Drosophila melanogaster: one gene and its partners. Each later gene encodes a partner of the first gene's protein in a complex. Each region holds a gene or a part of one and is shown in the gene's direction. Other genes may lie near its edges.

Region 1 (7,259 bases):
CTGTCAGCCTCACCTCGTAATTCTTCCATAGCAGACCAGTTAAGGATTGTAAGCCCACAGTAAACTAAATTCCATCAATCCTACAGAACCGCGCCATATGTCCCTTTTCTAAGCACAGAAAATAGATTCGATGCTTCTTTGCAAAGTTTATTCGAGACATTAGAGACGCATGAGTAAACAAAGACACTAGAATAATTTTAAAAAATGAGGAAAACCTAAAATGGTTCAAAAGTGTGTTTTGGGCGTTTTGTTTGTGTTTGCGTGACCAAAGTGTCTTTGGTATGCCGATTAAAATGCCGGAAGACAAACAATAAAACGAAGAAGAATCAAACATTTTTCAATGGTAAGGTCGGTTTTGGGCGGTTTGTTCACGCTAGAGTGGGCATGGCAAAACTTTTTTTTTTGCAAAATCGATAAAAGACTAATATTAATACGAAATAATATAAAAACATTTTTAAAAAGTGTGGGCGAGGCAGTTTTTGGCGGTTTGTGGGCGTGGCAAAAAGTTTTTAGGAATACCGTTAGAAATTTACAAAACTAATACTGTTTAACTAATAAGCTCTTCTATTAGCTATTTGCAAAGAAAAGACGATTTCTATGCAGCGATCTCGAACGATAATTTATTTTTTTATCAATTGCACGGGTCCCACGGCCACACCTCCCGCCCAACCGACCGAGTGGCGCTGTCGTGTATTGTTTATGCATAAATTACTAAAGAATATGATGAATAATTGGAGAGCGACTTATTTGCAGAGGAAACAGCAGAACTCCAAGTCAAAGGTGTAGGTGCGACCAAAGACACTAGAATTGCATGTGGTATTGACTTGACCGACGCACAGCAGTTCGTAGAAGAGACTAGCGCCAATCATTAAGTCTATGGGTAGAAAACGATGACACTTTGGGTCCGCGAGCGTCAGATTTAGGAATATGTTTCAGCTGAAAATGTCAATGTTTAGGCACGACTGACTTTCAACGACATTGCAAGCAATGGCAGCAGTAATGTCAGTCGAGTAGTTATTTACTGACGAACCATCTGCCTTAAAACTAGAATCGCCAATTGCGGTAACACAAGCTGCCAATAATGCCTTCATAAGTTGAGCGCCGTCTCTCTTTACAACGCAACCATGCATACATTGCTTTCGTTTCGGGGCAATTCGATGATCGAGCACCCTTACCTTCAACTAACTCGAAAAACAAGCTTTTGCTCTCGCGGAGCGAAAAGACCGCCTCTCCTACACCGCTCCCCACACAGCCACAATCGAACATTCCGGGTAACTGTAACACTGCAATAACAAGTGCAGTGACCTCCCTAGAAACTGTCACTGCTACCACAACAACAACTTCGTTAGCGGCCCAACTAATCGCTGTGCCAGCTGTAAATAATTCTGCAACACCGACCATTGGCAACAACAATAATGGACGTAAAAAAAGAACCAAAACAAAAGCAGAAGGCGATTGCCAAGAATACGGCCACACCAAGGCATACTGCTGTGTGGTTTAACGTATAGCAAATACATACAACAAAGTCAATTTCTGCTCTCCGCATTCGATGTTTCAACCACCCTTAACTGTCCCAAGCACTACTCTTGGAATTTTCTTCGCTAGCGCCTTAAAATCCGGACTAGAAGTCCCCGCCTCACCGACTAGAACTGCTCATTCCGAACATAAATTGACAAATATGCAACAAACTGAACAAAGTGGCATTGAAGCTATGATGCTATCCCTACAGAAAAGCATGAAATATTTCATAACGATCAAAACGTGCAAAATTTCCTGATACAACTTCTTGTATCTTCAAAATCCCCATGCTGGCTTCCCTACGGATATCTATTCACTTCATACACAAGAACTCACACAGTTCATTACCGAAAAAAACACTGGAGTAATGCTACTATCAGAAACGCACCTCACAAATCATTCAGATGGTAAAGCTCTTGGAGGCACTGGCATACTAATCAGAAATCGCATAAAAACCACCTCAATCTACGTCCATAGTCTAACTACTCAACAATGGTTCAATGACTCTAGCCGCAGTCTACTGCCCACCACGCTATCCAATACATACTGACCAGCAGACCCAAGAAAAATCCCAGACCCAGATCACACATAGAACTAACGCCGGCATTATCTGCTAAGGAAAATATAGACAAGTCAACGGACACTGTTGAAAATATTCTAGTTTCGGGTGCAAAGTGACGTATGCCCACCAGCACTAAGAACCTTTTGTAGAGAAAAGACAGTGATGAGAAAAGAGCCAGAGCAGTTGCTGACCACTTACAAATTTTATTTCTACCAAATCCTGCTATAAAGTCATTATTCTCCCTCCTTTAGCAGAAGCAAACTTAGATTATGTGAATTAGCAAAGGTTATCAAAAAGCAACTGAAGCGATTTTGGCTTCGACCTAATAACTCAAAAAATCCTTATTGAACTCCCAGTGTGATGTTCTGCACATGTGCTTGTTGTTCAACGCAATCGCCAAGCATGGATACTTCCCTCAAAAATGGAAAAAATCTACCATAGTAATGATTCCAATGCCAGGAAAAGATAAAACGCAGCCATCATCATATAGACCGATACAGTAACTAACTTATCTCTAAAATTTATTTGAAAAAATGCTACTCCTGGGAATAAGCCCTCGTCATGGAAAAAACATGGAACCATCGAACAGGCCAATCGAATCACGTCAGAAATTCGTACTGCTTTTGAGCATCGAGAATATTACACAGCCATTTTACTAGACGTCGCGCAGGCATTTGACAGTGTTTCTGGATGGACTTTTGCTTAAACTAGCCAAGCTATTGTTCCAAAACATACATAAGCTACTGAAGTCGCAATAAGATGCAAGGAACCTTCACTGGCTCATGCTCGCTCTCCACTTAGCGTGGAGTTCAAAGCTCTCCTATACAACTCCGTCTTAAAACCAATCTGGACTTATGGCTCCGACCTGTGGGGCATCCATTCAGCGAGAACAGCCAACAATTCTGAGAATTCTGACTAGAGCGTGATACCTTCGGAACGAAGACATACACAGAGAGAAAAAAATCAAATTATTTATCGAAATAATAACTGAGAAGAAAATTAAAATACCTAGTAAAACTGACCACCCATTCAAATCCCCTCACAAGAAAACTAATCGGAGGCACAAAGTGTTCGTATCATAAAATCTTTGTTGCTTTTAAAAACCTTTAAAAAACAAGAGAGGTAGCTTTAAAATTTTTCATATGACATCTTTAAGATATGGTGAACCGATTTAGATATGTTAAAAATTAAAAGAATAATTATCGTGAAAAAGGGTACGGCTGTTCTTACTGATATTTATACCCACTTAATTGGACTGAAATGCTTTTTTCACTTCGTTGCAAGCTTATAACTGAAATCGATATACCCTCCTCAAGGATATACCAAGATTGTGTGAGAGAGGTTGCAGACTACTTGGAGACCAACTGCTTCCTTGTTATAACCGAAATTGTGATGATTTTGAACAAGACAAGAGGGATCGATGTGCAACGTGTGGTCATATATTATGGAGATTCCACTGTTTCCGACAATCTTATGGTAGTTTATATCGTTGGAATGAAGACATTATTATGGCACAGTGTGAACAAGAATAATTCGTCTCATTGAAAGAAATCACGTTTTAGTGTGGAACTCATATTAATAGCATTTCTTTTTTTAAGAGAATAGTCGCTGCTGTGAGGTATCTGTAAATAAGACATAAAATCAATCGATAAATAAATGCTTATATATTATAAAAATCACCAACGGTCATTGTATGTTGATATTATGTTGATTATGTTATGTTGATATTAAAAATGTTAATCAAAATTTGAACTGGCTAATCAAACTTAATTCCATATAATTTTTTGTTTTTCAGAATTATTAACTCTGTAGTAAAATGGCGGATCGGCTTACACAATTGCAAGACACCGTTAATCAGGTAAGTGACTTCGTATTAAGAAATAACCAGTTTTTTATGTAAAATAATCATTGCAGCAAGCGGAGCACTTCTGCAATGCTATTGGTGTAATTCAACAAACGTCCCTTCCAAGTAAATTTGTTAATTTTGAACGCATTGGACCCCAAACGCCAATCCCATGTCCGCCGCAAGAAGACTATGCCCAATTATTTGCACAGTTAATTGCACGATGTGCTAAAGACATCGACACCTTAATCGAGTCTCTTCCAAATGAAGACAGCTCCATTGAACTCCAAAATTCTAGCCTTAAGAGGCTCGAGATCGAAAACCAGGGAACTGCAAGAGACCTAGAGGAAGTAGTGCAAAAAGGCGAACTTTTGCTAGAAAAAATGCAGTATTCTTTGGAATGCATTGCTCAGGCTCAATTAGATATGCAAATAACACTCAAACATGATTTACAATAGCTGCTTAACACATTTTTGTATAAAGGCAAATTATTTTTAAATTTAAGATAATGTATTTATTGCATTTTCGTTCGTGTTTACAGATCAAATGGGTTTTAGTATATACATATTGTTTTTATAAGTAAAGTATTTTAGCTTAATTTAGACCTAAACCATTTTGAACAGCACCTCTGACCTCGTTGATATAATTTTTATAATAATTAATTATAGTTTTAAGTTATAAAAAAAACTATATATACTTACACGTACCCCACTTTGGATTTTATGAACAAATTAAATTTATGTGCTCTAAAATATTTAATTCATTGTTGTAAATAAGTATTAGTTAAGTGTACCCCGACATCCTTGGGCGCCGCATAGACAAGGTATTTTTTCGTCTTCTAGTGGAAATTTATAGTCGTAAGTTATTTCCTCGTTGATACCAATGGGTTGCTTTGAATATATTACTATCTTCTTTTCAGATTCAATAGTTATAACCTTAGCGTAGCAATTCGGCTGAAAAACAAAATTTTATGTTGGTAACATAATGTCAGAACATCCAGCTTACTTACATTGCAACTGTGATTTATAAACCGAGCTAAGTTTCCACATTTAGTTGCGTCAATTATAGTTTCCATGTCAATTCGAAACAAATAGGAACTCCCAATCCCAATTGCTTCATACTTTGTTTCTCTTAGATCAGCAACTACAGGTCGAATCATCTGACCAACATATTCAATAACCATTTCGTCTGCAGCTATGGGCTCCATTGCAAATAATCCCCAATCATGTATCGCAGATTTTGCAAACTTAAGCTGTTTCTTCCGAAACTTTAGCTGATTAAATTTTAAAAGCTCAGACTCACCCATAGAACCAAAGGCTGTTAAAAGTCTTCTCTGGTTTGAGCGAGCTTCGCGGGAAATTCCTTGCATTTTAGAAATTAATTTATTGTGATGATGATTTGTAAGTGCTGTAGGTTCATCGCTCCGATCTTCATTAAAGGAATCTTCTGTATTGGCTTTAGCATAATGGTACTTATGCTTAGCCTTTTCTCGAACATCTAATTTGTAAAATCCTTCAGTTCGCGCACATCCAGTCTTATGTCGGATCAGTTCGTCGTCTTTTCTTCGCTTTTTTGATGGCGGTGGCCAAAAAGCTCGGTCAGTTGTGCAGTGATCCACCCAGTGAGTATTATTTAAAAACATACTAGAAAACAAATGTCAATAAAATAAAAACAAGAGAGAATGATTTAGTCGAGTTAACCGACTATCAAATACCCGTTACTCAGCTAGTGTGAATGCGAACGCGATATTTCATAATTTTTCTGGATATTGATATTGGGGAATAAAATGAGAAAAAATCTAGAAATTGTTCAAAAGTGTGGACCGGTTTGACGGCTTTAGGGCGTTAGAGTGGGCGTGGCAACATGGGTCAACAAACTTGCGCCGCGTCTTAGTCTCTAGATTCTGTTCGCTGAATCTCAACCTTTCAGCTTTTATAATTCCTGAGATCTCGACGTTCGTATGGACAGACGGACATCACTATCCTGATCAAAAATATATATACTTTGTATGGTCGGAGACGGTGCCTTCGAAGAATCTAGTATACCCTTTTACTCTATGAGTGACGGGTATAATAATATATAATAACATAACTAATAACACTCACGCGTACGGTTCCTTATGCAAATGGTCCAAATAACTCATTTTTATAAAGTTTATATCTTCGGCATCAATGCCTTTTGTTAAAAAAGTGTACAAAATAACCATTTCTTCATTCTGATCACGAGTTTTATACATATCACACGGAACAAAATGTACATTTTTGTGTGCCAAATCGGGCCATTCATCTCCGTTTGGTGTCATTTTAGACTTTACATTTGACATTCTGGGGGCCAAATCTCTCTTTTTCTTTTGAATACATATTGGGTCCTTGCGAGGTCGGCCGGGACCTGTCCTCGTCATTTGGCTAACAATTGCAATGTTCTCTGCTTCTCGTTTTAAAATGTTTTTAGTTTCATTCACCTTACCAGATGGATAATCGCCCAAAGAAACTGAGTGTGGCGGCAACGAATAACAATGCTCTAGCGCAACCTGACTCGCCTGAGAAGCTTGGCTGGAACCGCCCTCAGAATACACTGGCGATTGAGTTCTTTTGGTTTTACCCTTTGAATTTGTATACATTTTGTTACAACCGTTTGTAAGAACATCCCCCTCTTCATGAGGGCCAAATTCGTTTATATCGTTTTCAACACTTATTATATTGACTAGAGTAGTGTCAACTTTACTTGCACTTTCAAAACATGATCTTGTTTGGGAAATAGCTGTTTTTCTAGTTTCGTCATTTTTATTTCTTGGGGAGTTATTGTTTTTTACAATGTTATTAGGCGACTGTAGGTTTTTATCCAATGACTTTTCAATCCTTTTTTCTTGTTCCTCTAAAAATTCTCGTTCCATTTGAGCCATGTACTCAGTATTTCTTTTCCTTCTTTCCTGATATTCTTTCTCCTCCTCGGAGTCGCTGTAAATTCTATCGTATTCAAATGACGGCTTTTGTTTACAATCCACCTTCTTTTTAATTTCTTCCTCATTGTAACCCGGAGGTGGAACGGGGGTAAGAGAGCGCCTACACTCTTCATTCAGTTTTGGCGTGTTTGGAATCTTTCTTAATATTGTGGGTTCAATCCCGTTTTCATCCAATCCAATGCAACTATCTTTACTTATTTCTTCGAGATCAGATAAAATTGTTGAAATATTTTTTTCTTTTAAAGCGGGAAACAACGTTCTATCATTATCTTCATCTGTATCGGAATAAATATTCTTTTTTGTGCGCTTTGTTACGTTCTCTTTTTTGAATTCATTTGAGCCCGAACATAAATTTCTCACATTTATAACATCCA
Region 2 (8,624 bases), 7.3 Mb from region 1:
CCGGGTAAACGTACAATCCCAGAGGGACATCCTTTAGAAGACGGGACTTCTCTCGGAACTGCGGCAGTTGAGCCAATCGCGGCATGGTGGTCAAGGAGCTAAGGATCCAATTGAACTCGGCGTGCTCGGCAACGGCGGACTGGACAAAGAGGGTGCTCTTGGTGGGATCGATGCCACATGCCAACAACGTGGCGGCCATGGTGAAGATGTTCTCTCGCAGAAGCGGCGGATTGTGGGGCATGGTAATAGAGTGCAAATCCACAATACACACGGTGACATCGTCACGAGCATTCTGCAGCTGCACCCATTTGCGCACGGCGCCGAGATAATTACCCAGATGCAGGGAACCCGTCGGCTGGATGCCACTAAAGACTTTCCTCGGCCAGCGGGTGTTATGCTGGGTTGGGGTAATATATTAGAGTCTTGTGTTATGTAAACTATTTCTACGAATGCACTTACTTCTTCGTGGCCACTGTTAACGGAATTACCATGGGGGTGTACGTGCTGCTTGTTTCCACCGGTTACCTGGGCCGTCGCAGAGGGCGTTCCAGCCGTCCTACTAGCCAATCCCGGCAAGAAACTCCTCGCCTGAATGCAACGGCGCTGGGAATACACAGCTGTCTGTCCCTTTTTGGCCACCTTAGACAGACTGCGATGGAGCTTGCCAAATCGGAACATTGCAATGAGCTATGAATTTTGTACCCCAAAACTTTTGAGTAAAAAATATTGGGAATAATGCGGTGCTAAATGTGTGAACAAAGCCCAAAAATAAATTATTTGTTCGAAACGGCCGAAATTTTGACACTGAGCGTTCGCGAGCGTTGCCAGATGGCTTTTGAAAAGCCGGTACGACAGCTGTGAACAGTGATACTCAGCTTGGCGAGTTTTCCGCTAAATCGTGGATTAATATTAATATTCAAATTTAATAAAGAATGTTATTTATTATCATTTTTTTTATAACTCTCTATTTAAGGGTATTACCTATTTACATCTTACTTGTGAACGTATGGCTTGAAATTTAATGTAATTGTTTGATGGTAAATAAATTGTAGAGACCAATTGAACAATTTTTTTTTTTTAACAGGACTCCTATTATTTTTATGCTTATAGCTTTATTAGTGGTACACCAGAAAATCTAACGACATTGAAAAAGAATTAATCTGCAGAACTGCAGTTTCGAGTTTTCAAACAGTGTTGTATTTATTCTAGCTTAATACACATATTACATTGCAATTAACGCCTGGCGCCATTACCATTATTTATATTTTCCACTTTTCTGTTCCTACATTGAGAGTTACAAATATGCGGAGACTGTCGTTTCGGCCGTCAGGATAATTTTTCGAATAGGGGTTATTCAAAGATTTCAAACGCGGTGCAAAATTCTTCACTATCTGGCAGAGATTGGGAAGTGCTTAGAAGTTGATGGGTTTGCCAAAGGCAGCTGCCACATTGGCCTCACGCAGGGCCTCGGAACATGTCTGAAAGAAGGAATTGTGCGCATTAGGTTCGAAAGGTTCAAATCAGATTAGGTAATCACTTACTGGATGCGCATGGCAAACGCGGGCAACGTCCTCGGCAGCGGCTCCGTACTCCATGGCCAGCACAGCCTCGTTAATGAGCTCGCCGGCACCAGGTCCGATAATATGGGTTCCCAGGATCTTATCGGTGGCCTGGTCGGCCAGAACCTTGACGAAACCGTCGGTGTCGTTGTTGGTCTTGGCACGAGAGTTGGCCAGGAAGGGGAACTTGCCCACCTTGTAGGCAACACCCTCCTGCTTCAGTTGCTCCTCGCTCTTGCCAACCCACGCGACCTCGGGATGCGTGTAGACTACACTGGGCACGCAGTTGTAGTCGATGTGCACGTGGCCGCCGTTGATGCCCTCAATGGTGATGAGGCCCTCATCTTCAGCCTTGTGCGCCAACATGGGTCCGTGGATGCAGTCGCCGATGGCGTAAATATTGGGCACCACAGTTTGGAAAGTGGCGTTGACGGGGATCCTGCCGCGGTCATCCTTAACAATGCCCACGGCCTCCAGACCCAAACCTTCGGTGTAGGGACGACGTCCAACACTGACCAGCAGGGCGTCGCACTGGATCTCCTCTTTCTCGCCAGACTTGGCGTTCTCCACGGACACGGTGACGTTGTCGCCGCTGCGAGAGGCAGCCGTCACCTTGGTGCCCAGCTTGAACTTAAGACCCTGCTTGGTGAGCACCTTTTGGAACGTCTTGGAGACTTCGTTATCGATGCCCACGCCGCCGATCGTATCCATGAACTCAATGGCAGTGACCTCAGCGCCCAGACGCGACCATACCGAACCCAGCTCCAGGCCAATGACACCGGCGCCGATGACAACCAGATGCTTGGGCACCTTGGCCAGCTTCAGGGCGCCAGTGCTGCTCACAATAACTTCCTCGTCGATCTGTGAAGGTTTTTGAATGGCATGCATTAGTAATCAAGCGCGCTGTAGAGGTTTTGCACTTACTTCAATGCCAGGGAAGGGGGTAACCTCCGAGCCGGTGGCGATGAGGATGTTCTTGGTCTTGACAGTCTCCGTGGAGCCGTCGGATTTCTTAACCTCCACCTCGTTGGGATTGACGATGGTGCCGAAGCCCGTCAGCTGTGTGACCTTGTTCTTCTTGAAAAGCATGGCAATGCCACCGGTCAAAGCCTTCACGGCGTTGGACTTTTGACCCATAAGCTTCTCCAGATCCAGGCTAACGCTGCCGCAGCTAATACCACGTTTCTCCAGATCACCGGAGTGGGCCATGTGGTAGTAGTGGGAGTTGTTCAGCAGCGCCTTTGAGGGAATGCAGCCAACATTCAGGCAGGTGCCGCCCAGAGTTGCCTCCTTCTCCACGCTGACCGTCTTCATGCCCATCTGGGCGGCCTTGATGGCGGCGACATAGCCACCGGGTCCGGAGCCAATCACCACGATGTCCGCCTCGTGGGTGCTGGAGTAGCAGCGGGCGTTGAGGGCACCCAGAATGGCGGCATTGGTGCGCAGAGGAGTCTGTAAAGACGGCAGATTACTACATGTTGTGGCACCTTATCATTTATCACGCCAGTCGCACGCATTTCGCACTAATCTTCGGCCGACTATCAGCTGATAATTGGCCTAATTAGCGACCTTGAAAACGGGGCCAAACAAATCCCCAAACGCCAGTGAATCACCCACCGGGATCATATGAGCACTGCAGGTGATCCAAGTGCATTTTCCAGCCTTTTCCTGCCCATTTCTCGACCCCCTCGGTGAGGTTAGATTGCATAACTTGAGGGGCGATGGCGTTTGGGGAATCGGTTATGTCGCCCGATCCTTACCTTGGCTACTGCCGAAACAACATGACGGAGCGTGAATTGCATGGCTGGTGCGGGCGAGTTATGAGGATAATCGTTATTTAACTACAAACACAACACTAGTTTGATGTGTGTTTTTCCGACTGTTTTTCGTGTTGTGGGGCTCGGAGCGGTCGCAGGGCTGGCGATGTGCATTCGATAGTGGTCATATGATGGCCGCGATGCTATCGATTGTTTTGGTGATTTTCCACTCTGTTGGAATTTGAAATTCTAAAACATTTTCGTATGAAAAAGATGTGTATAAAAATATTAGCTTGATGATCGTTCAAAATACGATATGTCCGTCACTCAATTGCTAGTTTATACAATATTCACTTTATGGGTCATTTGTTGTAGCAAAAGCTACCTAAAAACAAGCCAACTATACGTGTAAGCCGGCTTTTATAGTTTTGGCACCCATTAATTAATGTTTTTGTACGTATAAAATAAACTGTAATAAATAAACTGTAAAATAACTGTTTTAAAAATATATAACTCAACGTACATACGATACATATATAATAAGAGTTCCAAAGTAATATTAACTTTATTATATCTATAGGTAATTAAAAATGTATTATACGATGAATATTCGATAGTTTGCCCTACAGTACAACCCTGTGTGGTATTCCCCATCTGGGATATTTCCCACAACACTTTTGGTATTTTCACGTCGCGTTCATCTCGCGTTTTCGTTGAAGCCTCAGTATTTCGCTAGCTGTCGCAATGCGGTCACACTGGTTCGCGGACACAACAAGATGGCGAGACTTGCCCCCGAAATCTGTTAGAAAACGCCACAAGAGCAAATAATTAGTTCAGTTTTCGACCAGAAAAGAGTCAGCCGAAGTGCCGGGCAGACGCGGCGCATTTTGCAGAGTGTGAGCTTGGCCAGCGTTGCCCGAGAGCCGCGACAGGCGACACCTTCTGCTGGCCTTGCCTTGTTGCTGTGCCCCTGTGTGCGTGAGCGTGTGCGGTGCGGTGCGATTGTGTGCGTGGGTTGCCAAGAGTGAAGAGAATCGCTGAGTTTCCAAGATGATGAGCAACTACGGCAACATGATGGACTCACCGAAGTCATCGCCCCACGGCGGCGGCCGATCACCCGTGGTGGCCCGTCAAGACTCATCCGGCACCCTGAAAACGACCATTTCGCTGGGCAAGACGCCAACGATCATTCACACGGGGCCATTTTACTCCATGAAGGAACCACCCGCCAAGGCAGAACTTACCGGCGACAAGGATCTCATGACCGAGTACGGACTGCACCACACACTCACCAAGTTCAAGGAGAAGAAGTTCAAGGAGTCGCTGGCCTCGTTTCTGCAGAACATCCCCGGCATTAACGACCTCATCACGCATCCCGTGGAGAATAGCACGCTGCGGAGCGTGATCGAAAAGCCGCCCATTGGTGGAAAGGAGCTTCTTCCGCTGACTCCCGTGCAGCTGGCCGGATTCCGCTTGCATCCCGGACCGGTTGGTTTTTCCAATATGCTTTTAATTCGCTTGCTCAGTTTGAAAAATGACGAATCTTTAGATACGGCACATTGAACATCTTAGAATACATTTAGACGCTATTCAATGCTTTGCGTCTCTATACATTTGCATGCATTAATTTCGCTTTTTAAAATTTGCATATGAAATTTGGATTTAAGTGTCCTTGCACAGACTGATCTACTATAAAGTGTTATTTGGTCGCACCTTTTCTGTCACTTATTTCTATAATCACCGTAGTATTTTAGAGTTGTAATTCATTTTCCTTATGTTCAACAACAAATTTGAAACACAAATATTTTAGTCATTAATCACAAAAATTACTTAAATTAACAAGAGTGTAAATGTTGGTTTTCCCTTTAAACCTCTTTTGAACAGTGTATATTAAGTCAGTAGTTCGCAACGCAGTGATCTATATGAACAGCTGAGTCGATAAGGCCATGTCCGCCTGCCCGTTTTCTTTCAGTTTTAAATTTTTGTTGCAAGTAGTGCATAAATCAGAACGCGCCAGTTTAGGCCACTAATTCATATTGCTGCCATATGGTTTAATATTATGATATTCAAAAAAAAAAAAAAAACTAACCTTCCTTGTTGACGGATTGTCCTTCCTTTCTTGTTATTGAAATATTGGCATTTAATATTATTGAGAGTTTTCTTTCACCCTATATGCAATCTAATAATAATAATAATTCATCTTAAAAGGTTTCGTGAAATATTTTTTACATGTCATATATTTCAAACAATGGATAAATCGTTACTAGAACAAATTGCATAAAATATATTATTTTTTTCCTCTGCACTTTCACATTGCTAATTTATCCGATTCTGGTGCTCCTTTCAGCTGCCGGAACAGTATCGTACCACATATGTCACACCTGCGCGTAAACACAAAAACAAACACAAAAAGCAAAAACACAAAGACGGGGTGACCACGGGACAGGAATCCACGCTGCTCGGTAAGCAATCTGCTGAATTATCGAGCAACTCGATCACACATAATCCAATGATAACCATCTTGCAGACTCGGCCGGCCTGGAGACTTACGAGAAAAAGCACAAGAAGCAGAAACGCCATGAGGACGACAAGGAGCGCAAGAAGCGCAAAAAGGAGAAAAAGCGTAAAAAGAAAAACCAGAGCCCCGAACCGGGCGTGGGCTTGCTGCCCGGAGGAGCGAGCTTGGGCGGAGCAGCGGGTGTAATGGGAGCCACTAGTCTGGGATCGCTGGGAGGAGGACCTGGAGGACCCGGGCTGTCCAGCCTTAGTGCCAGTATGGGACCTGGCGTTGTGGGGAACATGAATAGCTTCTCCTCATCGATGCAGATGCAGCAGCAACAGCAGATGCCCATGCAGCAACAGCAGATGTCAAGTGGCGGTCTGCTGGGATCTGTGCTGGGCACTAGTGGCGGTCCAGGTGGCGGCGGCGGAGGAGGAGGTGGTGGCGGGGGCGGCGTCGGTGGGAGTCTGCTTATGTCGCAGTTTTAGGCAGGATCCTTTAGCAAAATAGACTTGGCTCATTACCTCTCATCAGCAGACGCACCCCAAATGGCAACATAAAAAAAACGCAGAGGGCCTCGGTCCTCTACATGCAATTTTCTCGATATCGTTTCGTGTCCTAGTTATTAATTTATGATTATTGTAAATGTAAAATAGTTTATTTCTGTAATTAGCCAACAATTTTTCGTTCGTTTTCGCGCTAGCTTAATGAGATTTATTTAAACGCAAGTTATGGTACAAAACGCAAGAACGTTTTCGCTCTCGATTCCAGCTCTTCCCTCCACACAAACACACCCCTCGCCACGCCGCCACAAAAACGCTGCTTTGCAACCTCTTTAATTTGCTTACCAACCTTGTAACGTGTGTAGGGTCAGTATTTCAATTAAATTTCTGCAATGGTTTGTTCTTCCAGCAAGTTTATAAACACAAAAGAAAGCTGAGATTCAACAAAATAAAAATGCCTGTACTATAAGTAATTAATTTTAGTGATTAGGCACATAAAACAATAAACAAGCATAAAAATGATCAAAGTGTGTGTTTACAATAGTTTGGGGAGCTTAGTTCATTTTTCGAATATAAGCATTTGTTGCACAGAAGTTCTGCTTCCAAGGAGCCCTTAAATTCAAATTTGGCGCCAAACACTTGTTAGCACTCTGTTGACTTTAACATGGCGCATTAACAGCTACGCTGAAATCTGACAGATAGTAACATAGCCTTAACAGGCGCCAACAGCTGCTTTAATTCTCAGGGAGTTTCTCGCAATCGAGAGTCAATTAATAAATTAAAAGTGATGTGTATAAGATAGTCGTCGCTGCAAAGCCATAGATGAGTTGTAACTTCGCCAGATTTTCGCGACAGGCAGCTATCAACATGTACAAGCAGTCGTGCACCAATCTCCTGGAATTATCCTCCGCCAAGGTGACCGAGTGGCTAGCAGGCTTCGACAGTGTAATAACCGACTGCGATGGTAAGTCGGTGGTGGGGATGAGATACTACTAACTCGCACCCACCCAGGATTCCCCCCAGGAAGTTGCGTTACATAAAGATATGTGTATACCACATTCTGCCCAAATACGTCAGCAGCCAATAGTTTCTGTATTGTGGCTGCGTCGTTTATTTCAATGTCAAAGAGTGAAGTGCGTGATATGGCGGGAAGTCGACTTTCGGATGCCCTCATATCTTGTTAATCATCGTTATATTTAGTAAAGAGTAAAGCAGTAAAGAGCCGTTTGATAAATTCCCTAATGCTCATAGTGATGAGCCCTAAGTTTATTAATATTAGACAATCTTATCAATTCAAGGAAATCGTTATTATATACGCAATATCAAAAGTTGTGTTCAACCCCATTATTTATTAATTTTATGCAATAATGCCTTCTTTAATCATAACAGCTTTTATTTCTTTTCGTTTATGTATCTTTGCGAAGTTACCAATTTACTTAATTGGAATTAATTTCAAACTGTCCTCTTTGCCTTTGAATGATTAATTTATCAATTTTAGAAATAAATTACCAACAATATGAGTATACTTTTTGTAGATATTGAGAAATCAATAACGCCCTTTATAAAACTAGCAATGGCATTAATAAAACTAACAACTACAAAGTGAGAACCTATTTAGCACCGTTCTTTTTTTAATTTTAAGAAAATTCTTCTACAATATTAATCCATTTTTTCACATCAGGTGTCCTTTGGATCTATGGCCAGGCCCTGGAGGGCTCTGTGGATGTGATGAACCAGTTGAAGGGTATGGGAAAGTCGATCTACTTTTGCACTAACAACTCGACGAAGACCCGGTCGGAACTTCTCAAGAAAGGCGTCGAACTGGGCTTTCATATCAAGGAGAATGGCATTATATCAACGGCCCATGCCACAGCTGCGTACCTGAAACGACGGAACTTCAGCAAGCGGGTATTTGTGATCGGAAGCGAGGGAATCACCAAGGAACTGGACGCCGTGGGCATTCAGCACACTGAGGTGGGCCCGGAACCCATGAAGGGATCGCTGGCCGAGTTCATGGCACAGCATTTAAAACTGGACACGGACATCGGAGCCGTGGTCGTTGGCTTCGACGAACACTTCAGTTTTCCCAAGATGATGAAGGCCGCTTCCTACCTAAACGACCCGGAGTGTCTGTTCGTGGCTACCAATACGGATGAGCGTTTCCCCATGCCCAATATGATAGTACCAGGCAGCGGGAGCTTCGTGCGGGCCATTCAAACCTGTGCGGAGCGGGATCCTGTAGTGATCGGGAAGCCGAATCCTGCCATTTGTGAGTCTCTGGTCACGGAGAAGAAGATCGATCCAT
Region 3 (6,930 bases), on another chromosome or scaffold:
ACCCTTCTGCTTGGCGTACTCCACGCTCAGGATGCGCATCACCTGTGCGGCAGTCATGTTGTCGCGCTTGTGTCTCTGGAAGTTGTCCTTAACGAACTTAGCAAATCCCTTCGCCTCGCCCGCCGGCGTGGATACGGTGTTTCCTTGCTTGTCCTTTTTGTTCAGGAAGAGGGTGATGGGTCCCCGGCAGATCCTGCAGCGCAAATCTTCCACCTTGCGGGATCGGGAATGGGCATGTGACCTGTGATGCGTAAAAACTGCATGACAATAATATTCTTTTTATCACTTGGGAGAACTTACGCTTTGTCGCAGCTCAGGCACTTGTAGGTATACTTGAATTCAATGCTATAGTTGTGGCAGACCTTGATCTGCGGGAGATCGGGGAACTTGTCGTTGGCTCTTTGTGCCCACATCTTCCACACCCGTCCGTGTCCACCCTCGCCATTGAATACCCAGGCCGCAGCATGGCAGAGTTCGTGTATCAAGGTGCAACGCAGGCGGTCCGCGGTAGTCAGCACTTTGACGCTCAGTTCCACCACGCTGCTACGCTGGTTAAGTCTGCAAACAATATATATTTATCGAATTCAAGGAGGATATCTGGTTGTCTCTATAAGAATCACCCACTTGCGCTTGTTCATGCACCGGCCGGCAGTGTTGCGCAGCAATTTGGACCAGGTGATGGGCACATCCAGCTCGTTGTTGAACACCTGGGCGTTATACATCTTGTAAAGATGCTGGGCCAGCTGATCCTTATTTCTTGCGAAGTTTTCCCGATAGAAGAAGGCCTCGTTGTCCGCCCTATCGCGGCTCACTTGTCCCTCCAGGGATTTCAGAAAGCCGCACTTGCCGCCGCTCGCAACGGGTGAGAGATCCTTCTGCTTCCTAGGTTTTGGAATCTGCTTAGTGGATTTTGGGGGGGTAGAAACTTTTGGCGGTGCAGATGTTTTGGGCGGAGCAGTGCCTTTAGGCGGAGCCGTTTTTGGCGTAAGCAACTTGAGAATTGGGCTCTCGTGGGGCGTTGTCTGACCTTGCTGCCCAATGCCAAGCTTCTTCTTTACCTCCTGCACTCTCCTGTGGACTGGAGTCCCGGGTAGGTAGTCGCTCTCCAGTTCATCCAGCATGTCCAGGTCCAACGCCCTGTTTACTATCTCCTTAGCTTGGTTATCGTTCTCGAATCCTGCGTTAGGGGTAAAAAGTTGGCGACGAATGTTTGGCTGCTGCACAGGAGTGGCAGGAAGTTTAGCCTTAACGCTGGCGCGACATGATCGCAGTATGTCGTCCAGGCGACGGTGACATTTTGGCGCTAGAATAATGAGTTACTAAAACATTTAAGTCAGCCATTTAAAATACTAATATCAACTCTTACACGGCGAGTCCTGGTCGGGATTGCTGATCACCTCCACCTCGTCTTTGCTCAAGTCGAGATAGGTAAGGTCGCCTCTCTTTTGCTTGTTCTCCTTGTCCTTATCACTGTCGCTATCACTACCGCTTTCGCTAAAAGTGGCATCTGCATCCTCGTCGTCGGAGGCGTCTGTCCCGCTGTCGGAATCTATGAGCTTGCGCCAGCGATCCTCGTCTATATGATTGGTGCGTGGGCGTGTCAACGGCTTTTGAGTCCGCGGACGTCTCTCCGTTTGGACAGCGCGCATCGGAGGCAGACGAGTCGAGTTTAAAGGAGTCTGATTTGTGCGCAGAGGTTTAGTAACTGGGGATTAAAGCGCGTGTGACTCAACGGTTGGAGGATAAAAAGCATGGATAAATTCTTACATATGCTGAAGTCCCCGAGAACACTTTCATCTGGCTTGGGCTTCTTTTTTTTAGCGGTGGTTACCGCTGTTGCTTGAATATTCCTGGGCCTCAGAGGAGCCTGTTTACCGCCACTACCACTGGAGCGCTTTAGAGTGCGGATCACATCTGGTGTCTGCCAAGACTTGCCGTACAATTGATTGAGCAGCTTTTCTGCGTGGGTGAGAAACTGCTCATCCTCGGATGCATCATCCACAGACAGCATGGATTTTTGGTGGCTCTGAGGGTCCTGCTGCTGGTGCTCTTGGTGCTGCACCTCCTCCGAGCTGGGCAGGGACTTAGTGGCCCTGGGCGAAGAGTAATGCTCATCGTCGTCTTCCGCCGAACTTGACTCCATAGTGGGAATGCTGATTTTAATGTTGATCTTCGCTGAAATATTAATACTGCTGACCTGGATAGAACCGTGTTCGTCCCCTCCCGATGTGGAGGAACCAGAGCTGGCCTTTTGCGGCGTGAGCTCGCCCTCGCTGCTGGTTTCCGGTATTTCAATGGATTCATCAGGAACGGGCTCATTGTTGTGAATCGTCGAGTTATGGGTCTCAGAACTATCAGAACACAGGGTGTTGGGCTCGGTGTCATTGTCTGCTAAACGCTTGCTGCTGTATGTGGGCTCAAGCTCCTCCGATCCGAGAGTATTCGCCTCCGTTTCGTCGTCTGCCAACCGCTTGCTGCTATCCAATCGAGTGGCATCTGCTGAGCAGATGGTATTCACCTGCGTATCGTTGTTCGCCAGTTGTGTGCTGTTGTAAATCGGCCTGGTAGTGGGTGGCTGCCAGTCCTCGTCGGTGGGCGACATGGATTCGGTGTCCGCATCGGCTAGACGGGATTGCCGCTGGCTGGAAGAGAGGGGGGGCGGTGTCAATGGGCCATTCCACTCCATCTCGCGTCGCTCTATGGACACATCGCGCAGAAAAGCCTCGATGCGCTGCACTTTTTCGGTTGTGAGCATGGGCTGTGGTATGTCTTCCTGGCCGGGATTAGCCACAATTTCCCGTTCACTCACAGCCATGCTATCGGGAGGCAAGGGTTCTTGCTCATCCTCGCTAGAATCGGATATGGTGATACAGGAGGCGGCGTCGTCGTCGCCGGATACGTTCTCTTCCGTAGTGGAGGAAATGCAAATGGAGATCTCCGGCTTGGCCGAGTGCTCCTCATTTATGGGCTGCACTTTCAAATTGCTGATGCCAGCGGACAGGAGCTCTACATCGCCCACATTTGCCACATCCTGGCTGCAGCCGTCGGCGCTCAGCTGCAAGGCTTCCATGTAGTCGGAATTGTCGAGTTCTGTGTCCTCCGTATTTGCCCCGCAGGACGGAGCGGGTGCTCCCACATTGGCGCGCATGGGAGCTGCTGGCAGTTTCCTTGTTTTCTGGTCGTTCCTCTTTTCTGGATGATCCTTCGGCGCATGGGACACCTGGAGTCGTTTTTTGTGGGAGGATAGCGTCAAATTGGCGAACTTTTGATTGAAGGGAACTTTTACTTTGCTCGGGTCGACCGCATTGAAGAGCCTATACTTATGATCCGCCATTTTGGGGGCGTCGTTGGGGCATTTACGGTAAATCAATCTCTATGAATATGCTTTAAGCAAAATTCGTATTTGCTATTATTCTGTGCGCGTCGATTTACGTTCATCGTTATCGATAGACTATTTGATTTTCCGGCATCTAGCTAGTGCTGTTCGAAAATGTCTAAAACGGCATCACTAGTAAAACGAATTCTTCCAAGGAAATGAAACTAAAAACAAAACCAAACTACTGCTCAGTTAATTTAATACCATAGTACACCCAAACTTACAAAATTAGCCAATGGCGATTGTGTCGTCGGCCCGTGAGTCGCTCTCCCATGCGATGAACAACCGCTTCTTGCCCAACCTGGAGTACTTGCTGCAGGGATCTATCCTGGATTCCGCCGTGGAACACTTGATGCACAGGTGGGAGACCCAGTGTCAGATTTGAATCGTTTGCACCCGACTAACAGTCTAACCGCCTACCCACTATCAGACTAAAGGGACTCTGCGACAATGTGGACACCTCGCCGGAGCCGTTTCACGATCTGGAAGTGTGTATGAGCCTTCGCCAGCCCAATGCCAACCAGCCGCTGCTTCTTCGCGTGCGCCGAGCCCTTGGTCGCGATGCACCCTTTCAGATGCGCTACCTAGGAAACCCCGAGGTGGATCTGCGCCGGCCTACATTGGTACGCAGCTGCATGGACTGCGCCTGCACCAATGGCATTTTGGAATTCCTCACGGAAATGGGCTTCCGCCTGGAGTTCGAGTACATAGCAAAGGGTTGGAATCATGAAATATATTACGCTTGGGTTGCCAAAATGGATAGTGACAAATGGACTTATTTCAGGCTATATGTTCCGCAAGGGGCGCATGAAGATTACCGTCTCCAAGCTCATTAAGATTGTGCCCGGCAAGCAGCAGGACATGGCCAACGAGCCAATCTCACAAAGCTACATAGTGGAACTCTCTGTGGTGGCGCCAACGGGGCAGGAGAATGTCGGCGAGGAAATGCGCGTGTTTGCCGAGCAACTAAAGCCACTCGTGCAGCTCGAGAAGATCGACTACAAGCGACTGGGCGGCATGCCGTAGTTTACAATAAAAGTGCACATCGCATTTATCCAACAGTTATTTAATTTCTTAAATGTAAGAAAATATACAAATTTACAGAAAAGAACCGAGAGGGAATGATTACACTGCCAGAGTAAAAAATATCTCAAATTCAACCTTACACACCCACATGACACGACAACAACGGACTTTCCCAAAGCAGTGATAAAGAAGCTGCGGGGCGGTTAATCCTTAAAGGCCTCATTAAGAGCCGCCAGATTGCGATCGCTCACATAACTCTGGAGATCGCTGCGGCCCATCAGCGAAATGACCATCTTCAGCGTACTCCAAATAGACTCGGACATCTGGTTCTGTCCTCTAAAGGTAGCCGCCATCGCCGCATTGGGCAGCTCTCGGGCGGCGTTAGTGTGAGCCTGCATGGTAAGCGCTGTGAGTAAGTGCTCCACAGCTTCCTTGTAGGCCTTAAGGTTCATGCAACATACGCCCACGTTGTAACGCACACGGATGAAGCCCGGTTGGAGCTGCAGCGCCTGCTGATAAGCCTCCACCGCCTCCACGGAGCGCGAGCCGTTGGCCAAACTGGCCCCCAATCGGTTCCATGTCTTCGCATTTTGGGGATCCACCTGCAGAGCGGACTGGTAGCAGTCCACCGCCTTGTCGAACTCCCCAGATAGATTGTAGAGCACGCCGAGGGCATCCTGGACTTCGGCATCCACCTCCGAAGGGTGCTGTCGAACGGCTTCCAAGTAGATCTGCTGCAGATCGCGCAGCTTACTCGGACCAATCAGCGACGAAGCCAACGAAGTGCCCTCGGCCTGCAGCTCCGGATGGGCTGCGACCAGGTGCTGATACTTGGGATGCACTGTCAGCCAGTTGCACAGCATGCGCACGGCGTTGTTCTGCAGGCCCTCGTTGGTGTAGCACGCGGCCAGGGCCATCAGGACCTGTTGGTTGTCCGGTTGCAAGTCGTAAGCCCGCTTAAGTGCCGCAATGGCCTGGGGATCCATTTCGTTCTCTGTCTGCGAAGTGCCCAGCAACTGCCAGACCTCAGCGCGCTCCGGTTGCTTTTTGGCCGCCACCTCGAAACATAGAACTGCGCTGGGTATATCCCCTTTGGACAGGTACTCCTTACCCTTTTCAAACGGGTTCTCCACATCAGACATGGGGTTGCCCTCGGCGAACTCGTACTCCTTATAAGCGTCCATATTGTCGTTGTACTCCGACAGCCACGGATGCTCGTTCTCGTCGGCCAGCTTCTGCCACTCGTCTTGCAGCCGCTCCCAGAACTTTTCGTTGAAGTTGGCGGCGGTTTGCTCTTTTTGTTCGGTGCTGCGCTGGTAGTCGCTGATCCAGTCGTCCAGCGATTCCCCCTGTGGCGCCTGTGGCAGATGATCTGTGATTATAGTTTCCATGGCGGAGTCAAAGAAGGGGTCCTGTTGCTGTCCTGCCGCAATGGGCATCAAAGGCTGACGCAATGGCGGCAGGGACCGAAAGTTCTGGCTACTGATCAGGGGCTCGTCGAAGAACTCCTGGGCATGCTGCAGGTCCTGCTGCTGTGCCTGCATGTGGATCATCTTGTTGGGCAGGGCGGGTGCCAGTCCGCGGGCAAAGTCCTGTCCCCACTGCTCCGCCTGCTGAGAGTGCATCTGCTGCTGCGGATTTCCGTGAATATTTATGTCCCGCATCTCCTGGAGCAGAGTGTCCATCTGAAATGACTGCGGTGGGGCAGTGACCTGTCCCAGGAACTCGTTGATCAACTGGTCCTCGGGACGAGCAGCGCGCTCGAAGTGTCGCTGCACATAGCCCTCATCCTTGTGGGCAACATCGCGGGTGAACTGTCCGCCCAGTTGCATGAGAGGATTAACTCCACCGCAGTCGCCCTCGACCAATGGGCGGAAAGACATGGTGTTCGAAGTGGAGATGCTACGTAACTGGGGCAACCAACGATAAGAAAAGGGGCCAAATCAGGTCCAAAACAAAAGTCCAAATGTCACAAAGATTACCTGTTTATCGGCCGTTATCGAAGCTATCGGCTTTGTGACAGTGTTGCACAGCGCTCTAATAATAATAAAATATATCGCCGCGCAAAATCTTATCCGCCAGAGAATTGGTTTCGAACGCCAAATCCCCGACTGCACCATGGACTACGACCTTTTTCAGTCGGATGACGAGGAGATCCTGGCTACCTTCATACAGGCGACACAGAAGCAGGAAACCCTGAGCGCGCAAATAGACGTGGACGATAGCGAAGAGGACCTAGTCGACGGTCTACACTTGCCCGAGTTCAACTGCAGTGGCCGAGACACTCTGAAGAGCCAACTGTGCGAGGGAGGCTTTCTGGGGAATGGCTACGCCCAATTGGATCCGCCCCGCTCTCGCCTGGATTATCTCTGTTTTGACTTTGCTCCGGCTCAATTAGCGGTTGGCGCGGTAAGAAACTACCTGTACGGCGAGGCCTGGTGAGTTTAGAGCTCCCCTGGCAGCTGCCAACAAGTACAACTCTTCCATTCTCAGTAAGAATGTGCAGAAGCTGTTAACCGTCGTGATGG
Region 4 (8,978 bases), on another chromosome or scaffold:
TACTAGTGGATCTCCAACGATTGGCTTTAATTATTGCTTTCCAGCACTTTTATTAGGTCGTAAGCATGTTGGAAACGCATATCACAGAAGTCATCTTGGCATGCTACACACTGCTCCAGGAGCAGCTGCAGCTTTTCGTTGTCCAAATTCTTAAGCAAGTAATCCCTTAGCAAAAGGCACGCCTGGTAGATATTGGCATCCAGCTGATGGCCGGAGCAGAATGCAGAGACATCAAATGTGAATCCCTCGCCGGTCAGCGGCTCGTACTTTTCGGCATGTCCTGCTGCGAACGAAGCGTCCACCAGGACCACGGAGTCCAAATCAATGAGGTACACCTTCTTGGTGTCTTCGTCGTAAGCCAAATTATCGGCCGTGAAATCGGTTAAGATAATGCGAAAGTCCGCGAATCCAAAAGTCAGCTTGAGGGAGAGCTGGATCAACTGGAGAGCCAGCTCCACACGCAAACCTTCTTCAGCATCGACGTAATGAGCTAAAGTACGTCCTGCATTGGATTGAAAATGTGTTAGTCCGCAGGAGGCGTAGGTGGTAGGCACTGGAAATCCCTGCAGATGCAGTTCCTGCATAAGCAGCGGACTAACGTAGTACATCATGTAGAACCACACACTGGCGGCAGCATGTCCACGCTGCTCCAAGTACGAAACAAAGCGGGGTTCCCTTGCCAGAGTTCGGCAGAGATGAAAACCACCAGGTCGCTCCTCTAGTTCATAGAAATCTTTTTTCACATTTTTTATCTGATTACTCTGTGCATCAATGATTTTTCTTTTGGCCACCAGCTGGACTTCCTGATCCCGGTCTTTTAGCCTTAGAAAGTAAATCGCTCGGCGATCAACGAGCAACGAAATGGCTTTCACAAGTCTACTCCAATCCGAGGGCTCTGCAATTTTCTGGAAGATTTCCCCGCACGGCTCACTCTGTCCAACGAAACAGTCTGGACACAAGCGCAGATCCTTCTCGAAAAGTTCCTGGAACACCTCTCGCTGCGGCTTCACCTGCAGCTCCTGCAGCAGGGCCAAAATGAGCACCACTTTCAGTTGGCCGTGTGACAGGTGCATCACAGGGAGCTGCAAAGAGACGGAAGAGAAACGAATGAAGGGGCTTGCCAAACAACAGAAGAAGCCACACGTGTGTGTATCCAAAGAAATGTGCGTGAGGGCCCAGCCTCCAGTCCACTGGCCACATTACCTGTTTGGCAGCTACACGCCAAAAGTGAACCTAAGCACCGAGCCAAAGAGGCAGCTGGTTATGACCGCTTAACGAAGCGTCTATACCCTTTCGCTACATTTAGTTTAATTTGCTATTAAGCTGTATGTATTTTAAGTATGGAATTTCCCTTTTTACTAGTTCCTAAAAGCAATACCAAATGCTTCCATTTATTCTATTATATTTTTTAAGCACGTCTAAGTTATAGATCTTTAATTTAGTCATGATGACAGCTGATTAGATTATGATACCACTATCGCTTTTATCACACCAGCTTCTGGGCTCATGCCGAAATGGTTATCCCACAAGGTCCGAAGAGTATGGCGTCGGGGGGACGGACTTACAGAAATAACTTTGGTTCTGAAGAAGAGCCAATTCAATGGGTTCAAGGTTGGCCATCACGCTGGGAGCAAGAAGCGAATCAGACGCTTAATTTGTAATCTCTGCAGAGGTGGGAGAGTAGCCATTATGGCGATACCAGTCGCATCCTCCAAGACGCACTCCATCTCGCCTTGCCCTGTACTTCAAAATTAAGTGTGCCCAGAATGGACTTGCTCTGTGGCTCATTCTTTGGCGACGACGAGGAGCATAATGACTCGGCTAAAGATTCAGCACCATTGCCCACGACTTCGCCAGTGCCTCAGACTATCAAAAGAAAATCGCGTGTAAGATTTAGCCGCAGCACCATACGAAAACTCCAACTCAACGAACTGGAACAGTTGGGCTCCACAAACGCCTTTTTCAACTTCCTGCTCGCCCAGCGAATTCGGGAATTGGGCTTGGTCGGTCTCAACTACCTGGATGTGTTCAAGTCCCAGCGACTAATTTCGGGGAAACGCATCTGGAACTGCATGTATGAGTTGGCTGAAAGTGTTCGTCAGAACGATATTTAAACCTTTCGGGATAAGAGGAAACTCGATGAAATCGTCTACCAAATGTATTCGTGCGAAAAAAGACCGAAGATCGCTGAGAACGCACTGAGAGATTGGGAGACGCAGCAGAGGAGGAGAGACCTGAAATCGAAATCGCTTGGAGAACGTTTCCCCAAACCGAGTAAGATCAGTTGAAGGTGGCGCGTTGCGCTCGACGGTTGTCGCTATTCTGGTTCTCGCTCAAGTTATCCGAACTCTTGGAACAGCTGGGTAGTCTGGTCTGGCCTGGCGCATAAAGACGCGATATCGGTCAAGTTCAGACGAAGAAGACGACGACGCGGCGATCACTCAATTAGCCTCACCGTGAGGGCGCGTGAAATTCACTTTTAAATTTCCCCCAACTCGATTTTCACATACACAAATTGCTTTTGTTACGATTCTCGCGTGTGCTTGGTTGAAAAGGAATTTGTCACAGTGCCAAAAGGTGTGTGTGTTCTTCTTGGAAATGTCCACTTAGCTCGTAAACTATTCCAATGTTCTAAAAAGCCATAAATTAGCCCTAAGGTCGCACGTGAAACCTTCACCACCTGGGCTAGCCTAACTTTACGCAACTGAGAACAGAGCAGATCGCGATTTGAGGCGAGTCAACAAAGTGCGCAGCAGAAGTCCAGAATATTGATTGACTTTGCAATCAAATTTGCTCAGTTCGAAATTTTCAGAGTCAGGGAATTAGCACTCAGCTTATTTTCGGGCCACATATTGTTTGAAAGCAGCCCATATCCAAGTTCTACATGTGTGTATATATTATTGAGAGTTATTTTGCTTGTCAGTTAGCAGTAATTGGAGGAGGGCACATAAACCACCGTGCTAGCTACCCATAAATTACACATTAGATAACGCCGACATGTGCTCATCGCTGATTTCGAGGGCCCCCATATAAGTCGCGTTAGCCTGAGCCCCACTTGTCCAACTGAGATCTGTACAAACACTTTAAACCGGTTATATACATATAGTACCCGCTGGGAAAACAAATAGCAAACCCAAGCCGGCAATATATGAATAACCAAGCAACTAACCAACCAACCAGCTGGCTGGTAAACAGTCGCGTCGTAGTATTATTTTGGCTTATTGATAAACAAAAGCCTGTCAAGTGTGCGATCGCATATATATATATATATATACAAATGTGTTTATATATTTGCATTCTTGGCCATGACCAAGGAAATCTGATGCATGTCGCGTAAGTGATAATATACAAATCGAATTACGTCACGTTGACTGCAGGCACTCAAACCTCCTTGACTACATATTATTTTTCAAGGGGATTGCGTTATCGGACATTTAAACTTTTCGCTTTGTGGCACACGCCCTTTTAATTAATAGCCATAAAATAGCAAGCGAAATTGGAAGCGTGAAATTTGATTTTTTCTTAAGTGTTACGACTCTTTCAGTTATTTTTAGCTCGAACTAAAAAGAGTTACTAACTGAATAAACATTAAGAATTACCAAGAACGTATTAAACACAGCAAAGACCTGTTTTGGCCAAACATCTATTTTTTCATTTCAACCGAAATCACTAGTTTGCGCACTAACAAAACTTTAGCTATTTCTTTTGATTTTACATCTCGTATCGCTTTCTATTCGCCCGCGCCTGAATAGTTTCTATTATACTTCGAATGATTGATGGCCGCCTATGACACGGGCAAATTGGAAACAGGTTTTCGAATGGCTCATTAATATCTACCACCTTTCTCTGCCCCTTTCGCAGATGAGCATCTCGGCGGTGGATCGCAAAGAGCCGGGCAGTGTGAGCAGCGGTCTGGGTAGGCGATACGGGCAGCTGCTCCGTGGAGCCAAGTACACAGATTGCGTGTTCCACGTGTGCGAGGAGCAAGTGAAATGCCACAAGCTCATCCTGAGCTCCGCCAGTCCCGTTTTCGAGGCAATGTTCTTTGGTCCCATGCAAAACAACGAGCCCGAGCCGGAAATCGAAATCCACGACATAAGCTCTGCCATCTTCAAGGTGCTGGTGGAGTACATCTACACGGGCGTCGTTGACTACAATGGCCTGGAGCTGGTGGCCTGCATTGAGCTGTACTACGCCGCTGAGAAGTATCTGCTGGAGGAGCTGATCGCCGACACGCTGATGGTTATCACCCGCAAGCTGCGATTTGCCAATATCTTGCCCGCTCTAGAGCTAAGTGTTTGCATGGGCCTCGACGGGTTGCTGGAGGTCTGCATGACCTTTTTCATGCGATGCTGTGTTAATAATGGACAGTATATGAGCCACCTTAAGGAGCACTATGTGCACGTGTCCAAGGAGTGTGTGAAGGCCATAATAGCGGCGTGCAAGGAACCGCACAAGTTACTCATCTGGTATGTTTATGAGTGGACACGACAGGAGTGCGAGCAGTTGGGTCTGGGTCCCAGCGATGCCGACTTAGTAGTGCACGACTTGGGTGGCAAAACAAGCGACTGGCCTGCGGCTTCGGGTGCTAGTGATTTGGAATCACCTGCCCTAACTCCGGTGGTTTTGGTGGAGCGCTGCTATTACAAGGCCTGCAGGCCCTTTACAGTGGATGCAGAAACTCCGCTGTTTCGCTTGCGTCTAAAGTGCTCTAGATTTATCTCCTTGATGGGCTTGGTCCTGAACAGCAGGCTGACTCCCAACCTATTGGGTCACGTCCAGCAGCTGGAGTACCGCGAATCGCTGCGGCTGGACCTTTGCGAGGTGCCCGCTGAAAGCGAGGGTCCGGCCACGTCGCCCGTATGGAGTCACGTTGTCCAGAGCCAGAATACCAAGTACAACTGCAACCTGCATCTTGGCTGGCGACGCGAAGAGGCCTGTGTGCTGAATCCGGAGCTGACCTATGAGCTGCAGATCCGCTGGGACAGCAGTGCTTACGGCGCCGAGTATCCGTGCAGCCTGCAGTCCTGCCAGGCGGACGGAATTCGGTTCACTGACGAGGACAGCTTCAGCGGAAGTCTCGTCAAGGGACTGCGCTATGCCAACCTGGTGTAGCCACTTCAGCCGCGATATCATAATTAGTTAGTCCGTAAGACGTGTATGTATTTATTGCCCTAAGTTAATGTACGCTGCCTCAGAGTTCAATAAACTGTGAGTAATATCGCTTCAAACACAAGACGTCTGCTGATAAATATAAAAAGCCGGTTTGCAGCCGTTTTTGTTTGGCGAACGAATCGAACTCGATCGGGGAACGGCGTCCTGGCTGCGAATACGGAAACTTATCTCACCTGTTGTTGCGGCCACTAAAAAAAAAAAATCGGTAAAACAATAAACTATAATATAATCACCAGATGTAAACAAAGCGAAATTGAACGAGGGACAGTGTGGCCAACTGGTCATAATAATTCTTGCTTAAATTGGGGCGACCGTAAAATAATTAACAGTGAGAAACTGGCTATTATTTAATAACTTAATTTTTGTTTAAATGATTAATGATTTAAAGCTGCTGCGCTGTAAAAGCTTTATTTGCTGTTCAGAATTAAAATATTAATGAGCACTATCTTAAATCTAAACATAAAAACCAAACATTTTACAGTAACAATGGAATCAAAAATGCAGTGGAAAAGCGCTAAACACCCGCGAAACAGTGCTGTAAAGTTCTTCACAGAGTAGTGTTGGCAGACGCCGGGTGCAAAACAATAATAGTCCGCTTTGGTTTTTGTTTACGCTGCAAAAATGACGATTTTGTACAAAGTGGAGGGCAAGGAGTTCAGCAAGGACAGCGTTTTTCCGCACAAGAAGGTCCTCTGCTCAGTCTCCGCACGGAACATCGTTGCGTTTAGCGCCCTCCAGAGCGCCATATTTCCGGCTTCCCACGGAGGAGATGCCGGCGATGGATCCTTGCCGGGAGCGGGTTTGGCCGTAGGCGCGAGCAACAGCCATGTGTACGTGTGCGACATCGTGACGCCGTGGGAATACTATAAGGTGTGCTCCTCCAAATCGCTTATCAGCGTCCTCCAGTGGAGTCCCAATGGGGAGCAACTGCTGCTTGGATACGTCGGCGGTCGCGTCGAGATCTGGCAGCCGAGGAACCAGTCAATTAACCTATGGGTGCTGCAGTATTACGCCACCGTGCCCAGCGAGGACATTATAGAAGCACAGTTCTTTCAGAATGGCAAAGGAGTGATCTTCAATGCGCTGAAGAAGGATCACACCTACTATGCGGAGAAGTTCGAGCGGGTGGAGCAGCAGAGGCCCACTCTCAGCGGATTTGGCGGAGTGGCCAGCGAGGGATGCGTGCTACTCACTTCCTCAGGCCTGCTGGCCGCCTTCAGTCTCCCCGCAATCCAAAAGACATCCGCCGCAGGAGCTGATGGTCCTGCCCACGAGGTCGTCGAGTTGACACCCGCGCTCCACAGCATCGGCATATCGCGCAGCTTCATCGAACACTGCAGCATGACGCCAAGTCCATCGGGAGCCCTTAATATCGCTTTCAGCTGTGGCTGGCAGCAACAGTTGGTGCAATGCTTTAAGGTCTCGCTTTCATTGGAGGGCGAACTGGGTCTGGAGCAGCACTTGGCCATCAAATCCGAGTCCCAGACCAGCATATTTCTGGGTCCTCTTGACGGGAGGCGGATCAGTCACCTAAAATGGACGCGAATAGCCAACGAGGATGTGATTTTTATAGCCTACGCTTGTCCAGATGGTGCTGGCAGCCAACTGGAGCAATGGACATTGACACGCCGTCACCAAAGTGTCCACGCCCTTCTCCAGGGTGGAGGAGGTGCCAACAACAAGCCAAATGAGTTCGTGCAATCGGAAAGCTGGGAGCAGGTGGGCAAAGTGCAACTAAATGCATCCTTGGCGGATATCAGCGTTACACGACTATCGGTATCAACGCCGGACTCTTGCCAAGTGTACGCCATTCTGCAGGACAACAGCGTCCAGGTGCTGGAGCCCAACTCGATGAAGCAGCTTAATCACACCCAGTTTGATAGGTTATCTGACGCCAGTGGAGCAGTAAAGTTCGTTAGCGGCGACTTGACACCTAGCAGCCAAATTCTCCTAATCTTTGATAGCCATGCACAACTTTACGCCATGCAGGCACCTCTGCCGAAGCAAGGAGGATCTGGTTTGCTACTTCTGGAATATTGCATCGTTACAGGTTGCGATGCCAGCGATGTGCTACTCCTTAATCTAGGCAACCTGGAGGCTCTGGTGGAGAAGCTAACCGACAACTTTACGCGGCAACCTTCCTTTGTGCGGCACTTTTATTATGCTAATTTTTTGGCCCTCAAGTCCAACATATGCCGCATGCAGCAGCAGGAGTTTGACAATCTCATTATCCTACACGCAATATCCACCACATTCAAGAGCCTCCTGCGACCGTCTGATCTGGGTTTCCAGGATAAAGGACCTGCCGATAACTTGGCCATCAAGCTGGCCGAATCCATTCCGGATGTGGACACCGTGATGCTGAACCTGGACGCCAAGGACTTTACAGTGGAGCCGGTGATGCTGCAAAGTCTACAGCAACTGATTCAGTGGGTCACCGACCTGGCACTCAACATGCTGCATCGTCTGCCCGAGGAGGTAATGAAGACCAAGCTCTCCGGAAAGCGGCCTAGCTACGATATCAGCCGAGACATCGTGGCCATCAGCAGTCTGCGCGAGCTGCTGGTTATGATCCGCATTTGGGGCCTGTTAAACACCCAGTGCCTGCCCGTCTACACCAAGACGATGGACAACATCGATGTGCTAGTGATCTTGTTTCGTTTGCTTACTCGCCTGGCCCAGAATCCTGCAGAACCGGACGAAATGCTGCTGGACGAGTGCAGCCTGCTTTCCAAGCAGCTCCTAATTCCCCAGCCCACCAAGTTCAACCCCACCACGCTGCTGAGTGCCCAAGGATTCGCGGCCGTAAAGTCGGGACAGCTGCAGTTCACCTCCATGGAGGAGCCAACTTGCTTGCAGGACATGGAGACGGAGGAGGTGGTCTTCGCCAGCTCTGTGAAGGATGGCGTGAGCAATCTCCAACTGGGCGCCCGACCCAGCCACATTCGGAGATGCGCCCGCTGCGGATTCGTGTTCGTGAATAACGCCAGCAAAGTGGCCAAGACGTCGGCCCTCAAGGCGTGGTTTAGTAAGTGGCTGCACTGCCACTGTGGGGGCTTTTGGAAGCAGGTTCACTAGTAAATCTATGTGAGCAATGACCTTAGTTATTAAGTATGATTTAAGCTTCAAATAAAAGTACATGATTGCCAGCAATTTTAGTGAAATCAAGAAATTTAATATACTAAATATATTTCTTCTTTGCACGACGTGCTCGTTCAAAAAACTTAAGCCACAGAGAAGTCACCACCATACTTCACTATTTCAAAACTAAATTTATTTGAATAAAATATATTTTTTAACTCTATCTATGAATTGTGGTTGGTGTATTTGCTAACGGTTTGATATTAACAACAACAACATATCGAAGAACTTGCATCACTAGCATGTCAATCGATATCAGGACGTCCAATGTGTCTGTCGGCTGTCGGCAATCGATATCTCCTCTGCAAATAGATATTTTCAGAATAATTGGCTTATTTCACTTCGCCCTAACGCTGCAGTAATGGTAAGTGCATCGAGGTGCAACCTGTAGTCGCCAGAAGTCGAAATTCCTAGAGAACCGAGTGCCCCAGGTCCAGGCTTAACCGAGTGCTGAGTGCCCACCCTGTCGACGTCAAAAGAGGGCTGCCTGTGGTGAGAAGCAACGCCCCCCCGGTCCAAATCCCACGTCCATGTATCCCTGGAGCTCCTCCTCGTACGGCGGCCAGATTCCCAGTGCCGCCAACGTCCGGGTAAATACTCCGCCAATCCCAGATTACGAATCTTGGATATGTGTAATCGTTAATCCACTTATCTTCAATTTG

The links.
Region 2: MED21 (region 1) and MED19 share a complex: the UniProt entries of both Drosophila melanogaster proteins name them as parts of the mediator complex.
Region 3: MED21 (region 1) and MED18 share a complex: the UniProt entries of both Drosophila melanogaster proteins name them as parts of the mediator complex.
Region 4: MED21 (region 1) and MED16 share a complex: the UniProt entries of both Drosophila melanogaster proteins name them as parts of the mediator complex.

The regions. Positions count from the first base shown.
Region 1 is NT_037436.4:25,112,341-25,119,599, reverse strand, and holds MED21 (mediator complex subunit 21), read left to right. Parts: upstream 1-3,653; 5' UTR 3,654-3,771; exon of another isoform or gene 3,772-3,875; 5' UTR 3,876-3,896; coding exon 3,897-3,938; intron 3,939-3,994; coding exon 3,995-4,381; 3' UTR 4,382-4,676; downstream 4,677-7,259. Other genes in the region: Set1 (SET domain containing 1), read right to left, coding at 4,703-4,876, 4,933-5,566, 6,029-7,259. UniProt on the Drosophila melanogaster protein: Component of the Mediator complex, a coactivator involved in the regulated transcription of nearly all RNA polymerase II-dependent genes.
Region 2 is NT_037436.4:17,841,934-17,850,557, reverse strand, and holds MED19 (mediator complex subunit 19), read left to right. Parts: upstream 1-4,056; 5' UTR 4,057-4,366; coding exon 4,367-4,804; intron 4,805-5,663; coding exon 5,664-5,778; intron 5,779-5,843; coding exon 5,844-6,304; 3' UTR 6,305-6,833; downstream 6,834-8,624. Other genes in the region: TrpRS-m (Tryptophanyl-tRNA synthetase, mitochondrial), read right to left, coding at 1-397, 460-678; CG7430 (uncharacterized protein), read right to left, coding at 1,413-1,478, 1,542-2,420, 2,484-3,011, 3,320-3,361; CG5567 (uncharacterized protein), read left to right, coding at 7,142-7,283, 8,001-8,624. UniProt on the Drosophila melanogaster protein: Component of the Mediator complex, a coactivator involved in the regulated transcription of nearly all RNA polymerase II-dependent genes.
Region 3 is NC_004354.4:1,862,403-1,869,332, forward strand, and holds MED18 (mediator complex subunit 18), read left to right. Parts: upstream 1-3,506; 5' UTR 3,507-3,611; coding exon 3,612-3,736; intron 3,737-3,783; coding exon of another isoform or gene 3,784-3,806; coding exon 3,807-4,093; intron 4,094-4,160; coding exon 4,161-4,402; 3' UTR 4,403-4,485; downstream 4,486-6,930. Other genes in the region: Gcna (germ cell nuclear acidic peptidase), read right to left, coding at 1-241, 301-558, 625-1,303, 1,367-1,705, 1,768-3,334; Pex5 (peroxin 5), read right to left, coding at 4,606-6,312, 6,385-6,522; CG14803 (uncharacterized protein), read left to right, coding at 6,521-6,840, 6,896-6,930. UniProt on the Drosophila melanogaster protein: Component of the Mediator complex, a coactivator involved in the regulated transcription of nearly all RNA polymerase II-dependent genes.
Region 4 is NT_033778.4:22,177,415-22,186,392, forward strand, and holds MED16 (mediator complex subunit 16), read left to right. Parts: upstream 1-5,723; 5' UTR 5,724-5,796; coding exon 5,797-8,253; 3' UTR 8,254-8,478; downstream 8,479-8,978. Other genes in the region: CG11170 (uncharacterized protein), read right to left, coding at 27-1,073; CG11275 (uncharacterized protein), read left to right, coding at 3,862-5,115; Vps35 (vacuolar protein sorting 35), read left to right, coding at 8,847-8,906. UniProt on the Drosophila melanogaster protein: Component of the Mediator complex, a coactivator involved in the regulated transcription of nearly all RNA polymerase II-dependent genes.